2 linked regions of the Macaca fascicularis genome follow. The protein of the gene in region 1 purifies or fractionates together with the protein of each later gene. This does not show direct contact. Links are inferred from orthologs where the notes say so. Each region holds a gene or a part of one and is shown on either strand. Other genes may lie near its edges. The genes, in order: BNIP1 and NBAS.

The links.
Region 2: the proteins of BNIP1 (region 1) and NBAS purify together in Homo sapiens (co-immunoprecipitation; 3 studies listed by BioGRID and IntAct, with this or other methods). This does not show direct contact. The link is inferred for Macaca fascicularis from reciprocal best matches to the Homo sapiens genes BNIP1 and NBAS.

What each region holds. Positions count from the first base shown.
Region 1 is NC_088380.1:179,966,486-179,970,772, forward strand, and holds the start of BNIP1 (vesicle transport protein SEC20), read left to right. Parts: upstream 1-1,407; 5' UTR 1,408-1,419; coding exon 1,420-1,503; intron 1,504-3,766; coding exon 3,767-3,859; intron 3,860-4,287. UniProt on the Homo sapiens protein: As part of a SNARE complex may be involved in endoplasmic reticulum membranes fusion and be required for the maintenance of endoplasmic reticulum organization. Also plays a role in apoptosis.
Region 2 is NC_088387.1:106,648,277-106,652,562, reverse strand, and holds the start of NBAS (NBAS subunit of NRZ tethering complex), read right to left. Parts: upstream 3,040-4,286; 5' UTR 3,018-3,039; coding exon 2,901-3,017; intron 418-2,900; coding exon 363-417; intron 1-362. UniProt on the Homo sapiens protein: Involved in Golgi-to-endoplasmic reticulum (ER) retrograde transport; the function is proposed to depend on its association in the NRZ complex which is believed to play a role in SNARE assembly at the ER. Required for normal embryonic development.

The sequences.
Region 1 (4,287 bases):
TATGCCACATTAGCACACTGTGCTTGGTGCTTTTCATGTATTATCTCATTTAATTATCCAATCTGTGAAGTAGGTGCTATTGATTATCACCAGTTAGCCTCTGAGGAGACTGAAGCACAGGCATGCAGTGCTGTGGACAGGATTTGAGCCCAGGCAGATGCCAAGCCTGGGATACACTGCCTCTCTATTAGGTGCAGTGGGGTGATGAATACCTTACGAGAGGGTGTGTAGAGGCCTGTAGGAACACAGACAAGCACAGAGCCCTGCTTACAACAGGTGGGAGCCATATTGATTTTTTGGGGAAAAGATGGCTTTCAGTAGAGGCTGTGCCACTTTCAAGATAGGTAATCTTGCGACAGGGTTGATTGGTGGTTATTTTAATCTACTTTCAGCTCATCTCCTGAAGTGTGATACTAGTGTAGTGCAATTTCAAGGGTGGTTGTGAGGATTAAGAGAGATGAACATTCAGGTCCTAAGCATTTAGGTCCTCACAATCTATTCTTGCTGAAGTGACCTGAACAAAAGCAGATGGAGTGGGGTCGAGTCGGGGAAAAGCTTTCCAGGGAGAGGGAACACCACATTCTAAGGCTACACATCCAGAAAGAGCTTGAGCAATCCAGGAAGGGTGCAGGGTGGGGTGGCTGATGACCTTGAGGACCAGCTAAGAAACTTGGATTATTTACTAACAAAAATAAAAGAGCCACCATTTGTTGAGGGTTTCCTCTGACATTTCCATCAAAACTACGTAAATCCATCAAAACTACGTAAATCCATCAAAACTACCCCAGCAAGGTAGATTTAATAAATCCAGTTGTATACAAAAGGGAACCACCAGAAGCCATAGAAGGGCTGCATACAGGGAGGCGACTTGATCAATTTCGTGTTTTACAAAGATCCCTCAGATCATGTGTTGGAGTGATAGGAAGTACTCTACTGACTCTACTGAACTCCATACTTTAAAAAATACATAACATTTATCATTTTCTCTTTTACTCCACAATTTATACTCACTGTAGAAAATATTAAAAATATAAGAAAGTTTGAAGAAACAAAAAAGTGTCACTTGTACTTTCCAGAGACATCTCAATTGATACTTTTCTTCCAGTCTTTTTTTCTATGCAAAAAATATATAGTTATTAGAATGCCTGACAGAAGGAAGATGGAAAGAGACCACTGTGAAGCATTATTGATATTCCCTCTTCTCTTCCTCTCCATGGTATTAAGGCCATACCAAGAGGAGAGGCTGATTTCCCTACACGTGTCAGGGAAAGTCCCAACTCTGCGGCAGGGACCCAAGCTTGCCATTTTCGCCGGTCTCTAGGGGGCGCTGCCCCGAGACTGGGCGGGGAGGGCGAGAAGGCGGTGCGAAAACGCGTTTGAACTTGGGCCCTGCCGCCGCCCGTAACCGGCGTCCCCAACATGGCGGCTCCCCAAGATGTCCACGTCCGGATCTGTAACCAAGAGATTGTCAAATTTGACCTGGAGGTGAAGGCGCTTATTCAGGTACTGATCCCGGGACCCCTGCCAGGCTCCAGCAGCCCTAACCCAAGCTCTGCTGGTCTGTGAGCTCGGTAGTGTCACTCCCGAACTTTCCCCACTTGGTTTCCCAGGCCACCGGCTCCGCCCCATGACCGGCTACCCGCCCTGGTCCCCATTTGGTTGTATCCCCGTGACTGCTGGCCTTGATCCTTTTTCCGGGTGCCGCCGGATCGCCCATCTCCAGAGCACCCAACTGTTCTCCGCCCCTGACCCAGCTACTGCTTCGAGGCTCGGCTTTGCCACTTCCACTTGCAGTCCTGGTCGTCGCCCCGCCCCTGACCTCCTCACAACCTACCTGCCACCCTGCTTGGCCCCGCCCTCTGACGCTGCTTCCCCATTCTCTGGTAGCGCCCGGTAGGCAGCTAGCCCCGCTCCCTGCTGGCCAGCTCCCCTGGCATCCAAGGGCACCTGGCTCGGGAGGCACCAGGTGAAACGAATGTAACCTGGACCGTAGTTGTGATTTTATGCTTGAGGAAATCGAGTACGGCGCCAAGGCCTAGGTTAGAAGGCAGGCCTGGGTCAATGGCAAAACTGGGACCTGGACTGGGAAAGTCAACCTAGGAATAACACCTTAGAGTGTTACCCCGTTTGAACAGAGAGGAAATGAGGTGTTTTCGCCTTAAGCCATTTAAGGGTAGAGGTAAAATAAACGAGTTGACGTAGACAAGAATTAGGAATGTAGACACGGTTCCATGAGTTTAGCAAAAAGAAACCAAGAGTTTTAAACCTTGTTTTTTTGTTTTGTTTTGTTTTGTTTTTTGTTTTTGTTTGTTTTTGAGACGGAGTCTCGCTCTGTCGCTCAGGCTGGAGCGCAGTGGCGCGATCTACTCACTGCAAGCTCTGCCTCCCGGCTTCATGGCATTCTCCTGCCTCAGCCTCCCGAGTAGCTGGGACTACAGGGGCCCGCCACCACGCCCAGCTCATTTTTGTATTTTGTTTAGTAGAGACGGGGTTTCGCCGTGTTAGCCAGGATGGTCTTGATCTCCTGACTTCGTGATTTGCCCGCCTCGGCCTCCCAAAGTGCTGGGATTACAGGTGTGAACCACTGCGCCCGGCCTAAACCTTGGTTTTTAAAGCAAATCATTTTCAACAAAGTCACTAAACATTAGATGTAGACTCAGAGTTTGTAACGAGGGGTGGCAAAAAGTGCAGGAAAGTAGGGCTCCCCAGATAAACCAGATGCAGAATAAACCAAATTAGATGCAGAATAAACAAATATGGTGCAAAGAAGTGTGATTAAATTAATAACCAGAGAAAAAGTGAAATTTGATGCAGATATTTAAAACTTCTCGAACTTCACTTCTCTGATGTATACATTACAAAACTTCTGGGCCAGTTATAGAAAAATAAACTTAGGTTTCATACAAATGAAATCACATTTTCACATAATCTAAATTGCTTAGGCACCCTTCTGTACTCTTTCTAACATTTGGGTTCTTGTGATTGCTGATGAGAAAGATTGATTATAGCTGGATGTAGTGCACCCTTACTGTGTTCCAGCAGCTCTGCTAAGTGCTTTACATACACACATAATCTATGATGTTCTCTGAGGTAAGTAGGGTTGTGATGAGGAAACTGAGACACAGATAATTTAAATAACTTTCCAGGTAACTTTACACAGCTAATAAGTTGCCACAGCCAGGATTCGAATCCACATGGTCTGTCTCCAGAGCCTGCTCTGAAAACTGGCACCAGTAATTCTGAATGTCCAGCAACAGATTCTAAATCTGCCCTTAAACATGTTTATATAAACACTCTAACTTATCACTGACGGTTTGTAAAATCACACTGAAAAAGTTAATCTCATCATATGAGGCCAGATCTTTAAACATCCTCATCTTACAAGTTGAAAGGATCTAAGGTTCTAAAGTTATAGTATAACTTTCGCATGTCCATTCTTGTTGGGCATATAAGCTGTTTTAAGCTTTTTCATACTGGCCAGGTAATGTTTTGTTAAAATTTAGGCACTAAAAATTAGGTCAAAGCAGTTGTGTTTCTTTCTAGGCTTTTATATTAATTCAACATTAATCTAAAGAGGAATGAGAAAAATGCCAATGATAATGTTTTTGCTTGTGTTGCAGAGGTAAACAGCAAAGATCAGGATGAATTATAGTCAGTATCAGTACATTAATATTAGTTGGTCTAAACCAACTCTCTCACTGTATGGATGGTGTCATTTCATTTCATTGCCTTAAGAAAGGCCTTTCATCTGTTCAATGTCTCCTAGGATATCCGTGATTGTTCAGGACCCTTAAGTGCTCTTACTGAACTGAACACTAAAGTAAAAGAGAAATTTCAACAGTTGCGTCACAGAATACAGGTGGGTATTCTCAGAACTGAGATGCTGAGTATCTATCAATGAAGGGGGCTCAGTCCTGGGTGTATCCTCTGCTTGAGAGCCGTCTGGGTTCTTCAAACACCAGCTGATGGGAGCAGTAAACACTTAAGACAGTGAGGGTGACTCTGTACTAACCTGCTGTCCAGGTAAAAACGAGAAACTTTTGCGTGCAGAACACTGCCAGCTGTGTCAACAAGTGGATGGCAGGAACACCATTATCCTTGGAATTTTTGAAACCCTGAGGCCACTTCAAATACTTTCTCTTCTCTACCTTCTTTCTACCCTATTCATTTGTTCACTACCTCAATCCATCACACTCCTGGGTTTTTTTTTTTTTTTTTTTTTAAATGCTGTTACTTTGCTCAGCATCTTCCTTATTTCAGTAGTCACCAGTCACATCATGTACACAT
Region 2 (4,286 bases), on another chromosome or scaffold:
GCCGCTTATCTGACAGGAAGTGGAGCTCAGGTGGTAATGCTCACTCACCTATCGCTCACCTCCTGCTGTGCAGCCTGGTTCCTAACAGACCACAGACTGGTACCAGTCCACGGCCCAGGAACTGGGGACACCTGTTCTAGAATACACCCATAATGGTTAAACCAAGGCTATATACTTTAAACTGCATTAAAAATGTGCATGTGTAAATATACAAATGTATACATATACATACATGTGTCTATATATATATATAATTAAACTCAGATAACACGTCACTTTTATTAGTCTCCACACCAGAAGTCTAAAGAACACATTTTAACTGTTAACCATATCATTACTGTAGAGAAATAAGCTATATTTACCTCGAATTGCTTTCGTGATGATAAAGGATGCACCATGCTTTCGGTTGCCTCTAGGCTGGAATTTAAAACAAAGCCCTTACATTTGAATCCTCTAGTATTAGACTAGTATTGCTTATACAATGTAAACTTATTTTTATTTACTAATATCCAGAGTTTTGGGCACAGGGAAGCAGTGTCTTAAAACTACTTAAAGACTGAATGTGCAGGTGCAGTGGCTCACGCTTGTAATCCCAGCACTTTGGGACGCCAAAGTGGGCCAACTGCTTGAGCCCAGGAACTCCAGACCAGCTTGAGCAACATGGCAAAACCTCGTCTCTACAAAAAATACAAAAATTAGCCAGGCAAGACGGTGCGTGCCTATAGTCCCAGCTACTTGGGAAGCTGAGGTGACCTGGGAGGTTGAAGCTACAGTGAGCCCTGATCATGCCACTGCACTCCAGCCTGGGTGACAGAGTGAGACCCTGTCTCAAAAAAAAAGAAAAAGGTAGACTCAGGATGGGGGACAATAGGAGTAAAGGGAGCATAGCAGAGCTACAGGCACATGTCAGGACTAACCTTGCAGGTAAGAACAAAGATTGAAGCTAGAAACTGTTTCCAAATCAAATACCAATCCAAAGACAAGAGAAGTCAAGGCCAAAGACCACACTGGTTGCCAATTCAGCACACTCTATTGAAGCTGTAAGTTTTGCTCACAGGAAAAGTGGTCATATCTCCAAGGCAAATTCATTGACTATCTGTTGTATATCCATCCAGACAATGCTACTAACAAAACATACAGCGATATGTAATTGCTATATTAAATAATTCCATTCCATAAGTATAGACTGAACACACTGTGGGTAGGTTCATGACACTAGGCACTGCATAAGGTGCACTACAGTGCTGTCAAGAAAAGCACAATGGACACACAGTAAGTGTAGACAGATTTTTTAAAAAACAGAAAAGTTATTTCACTCAACAAACAAGAATTGATGGTGGGATTCATGCAAGGCACAATTTGGCCCTGGGGAGAGATATAAAGATGAATCAGATGTAGCTGCCCTCCGAGAGCTTATAGTTCAACAGCTGAAATCAATAGAATGCAGAAATCGATAGAATGCAGAAATCAATAGAATTCCCCCACCCCCAACACATAAACACAAAACAAAGTGCTAAGGGTTTCAAAGTAAGTTAATTCTGTGGTTACTTTTTTGGAATCAATTTATGCTAAGCATTCTGAAACATTACTGCAATTAACCAATGAGTGTTAAGGAGTGGAAACTTATCTAACCAGCTGCCGCAGCAACAGCTTCCTAGCTGCATAACCCAAAAAATATTCACATTAAGACAAATTAAGCACTTGAAATTAAACGGCAAAACATGCAGATCTCTACCCGTTCTACAAAATACATTATTCAAAATAAGCACAAACTGCAGTGGGAAGGAGGCTATAGGGGAAAAAAATACAAACTTTAGGCTGAAAAATGAGTCGTTTCTCCAGCAAAGAAACACTCATAAAAAAATGTAAGATAACTCATATGGGCTGGACTACATAATCTTTAATAAAGGTTCTTTTCGATCTGGCTGCTTCCTCTGGGTCCAAAACAGTAACTGGCATTTGTTAAGCACTCAATAAATATCTATTAAATAAACATGGATCCGTGGTTCCTACTCTTCACCACAGACCCGGGAGGCCCTCACTACCAAATAACTGATAATCCCAAGATCCAGTCTATAAATTATCAACCTCTATAATCCTTCTCTAGCGGAGATCCCAATCCCAGTCAGCAGTTCTTTACCCTTCACTTCCGTGGCATTTTGCTCACATCGCTAACTATAGCGCATAAAACGCGAGATTATGAATAACGTTTACAGGATTGCCTCCCCTCTAGAGGAGAAGCTCCACGAAAGCATATTTATCTCTGTATCCTCAGCACCTAGCACAGCATCTGGGACACCGAGACGGACGAACGGACACGCACACCCTTATTAAATGCTCTTTTATTGTTACACACAAGAACTGGCGCGATCCAGCCCCAGGTAGCTGTAAAGGCTCAGATTCCGCACTCTGCAGCAGCCTGCCAGATGCTGAAGACTGTAAGGTCCTGGAAAATTCTCACACCGTTAAGCGTCCGCCCGTACTAGCCCTAGCCAGACTGCGAGAAGGGACCACCGAGAGTCCAGGTAGGAGAAAGGACCCTTTAGTCCAGCGCTGTGCCTTCCCCTCCGAATACAGAGAGTGAAACTAACAATCTGCACCCCTCCGAAAACAGAGAGAAACTAACAACCAGAGTGGGATCCTACGCTCCGCAGAACACGAAGTTCCAGCCCCCAAAAACCGAATTCTGAGCCCAGGAGGAATCTCAGGGACCACGACCCCACCCCGCCTTAGGAGCCCCAGACCCCCGGTAGCCCAAGGTGCCGTTGCCAGGGCGACCACACAAGCCATCAGGCCCCCCGCCCACCCGGCTTCACTCCCCTACGTGGCTCCTGCTACGTGGCTCTGCCCACGAAGCGCCCGCGTCAAGTTGGCTGCTGCTGTAGACGGGCCTGGTTCACCTGTACTTCAGTCTCCGGTGGCCACTCGGTGTTGACCAACAAGTCATAGAGAATCGTCTCCTCCTCACCCTCTGCAGCGCTTGGACTCAAAGCCGGCCCTGACTCGGAGGCCGCCATGTTCGCCCGGGACTCAAGCAGTGGAGGAGCGCCTCTACGGAATCCCTCACAGGACAAGCTTCCCTAGCCGCGGCCGCTTTTGATTCACGGGGAAGGGAGTGGAGTGAACTGACCCTGACCGCGGCAAGGAAATGCTAGGTTAACCCTTTTATGAGTAGGAAGGACAAGGACTATTGCTTGTCTTGGGAACGACTTGTGTCCCGGTCCTGGTGCGTTCCTTGTTAATTAATCTACGTGACATCAGCCAAGTCACTGAGCCTGTCTTATCAAGTCAGTTTCTATAAAACAGAAACGGTAAAGGTACCCCACTGAAATGCTAATGTTCATTTGTGTATTCTTTGCCTAGCACGTAGAGAGAGTTCAAACAGTGGTTTTAAAATAAGCCACCAAAGTTATCCAATGCAGGGGATCAAGCCAATGAAAGGTAACAGAGGAAGCATGCTACGGGCGCTCAGAAAAGGCAACGAAGGCCAGAGTCTGCAGGGATTTCCTGGAGGACGTGGAGCTTGTCCCTAGGTCTTTAACAACTGGCAGAATGTTAATCCACTGGAGAAGCATTTCAAGTAGGGGGAAATGGGATGAGCAGAGACAGAGGCAAAAGTACAGAGTTGAAAGAACTCTTTCAACGTGTCGCGAGTGAGCGACGACTTTCTGGGTGTGGGAGTAAAAGAATTTACCAAGACAGTAGTAGATAAAAAAAGACAGATTAAAGAAAGTATGAAAGATCGTTGCCAGGGAACAGCGCGCAGAATCAGCAGAGGAGGAGCTCATTGCTAGGAAACAAAGGCTTGTTGAGAATTTTATAGACTGGAACTTGGAGTGATTGATAACACCAAGTTAGCAGGGAGTTAACTTGCTTTTTTTTCCTTTTTTTTTTTTTTTTTTGTCAACCGAAGTGTTTGATAAATAGAGGCGTTTGAAGGTAAGCAGGAAGTTTGTGAGTTAAGTACGTTATCTGGTTAGAAGAGCCATATGTCTTGGGCCATAAAGAAAAGTAGACCTATGGCTTATTTGTTTCTTCCTTTTGTTTATATGTTTTGGACCATGAAGAAAGGCAGATGTATAGCTTATGCTTACTTGCCTTATCTCTTTGTTTTTTCCTGCTCCCACTAGCCTGCCTTTTTTTTTTTTTTTTTTTTTTTTTCTTTTCCTAATTAGTACTCAACAAGACAGGTGAATAGAACCCAAGTTGAGAAAGGGTGTAGGGGCAATAAAGTTTAAATAATAGGTTGAGAACCTGCATGGAGGGAGCGAAAAGGTCAACCCCAT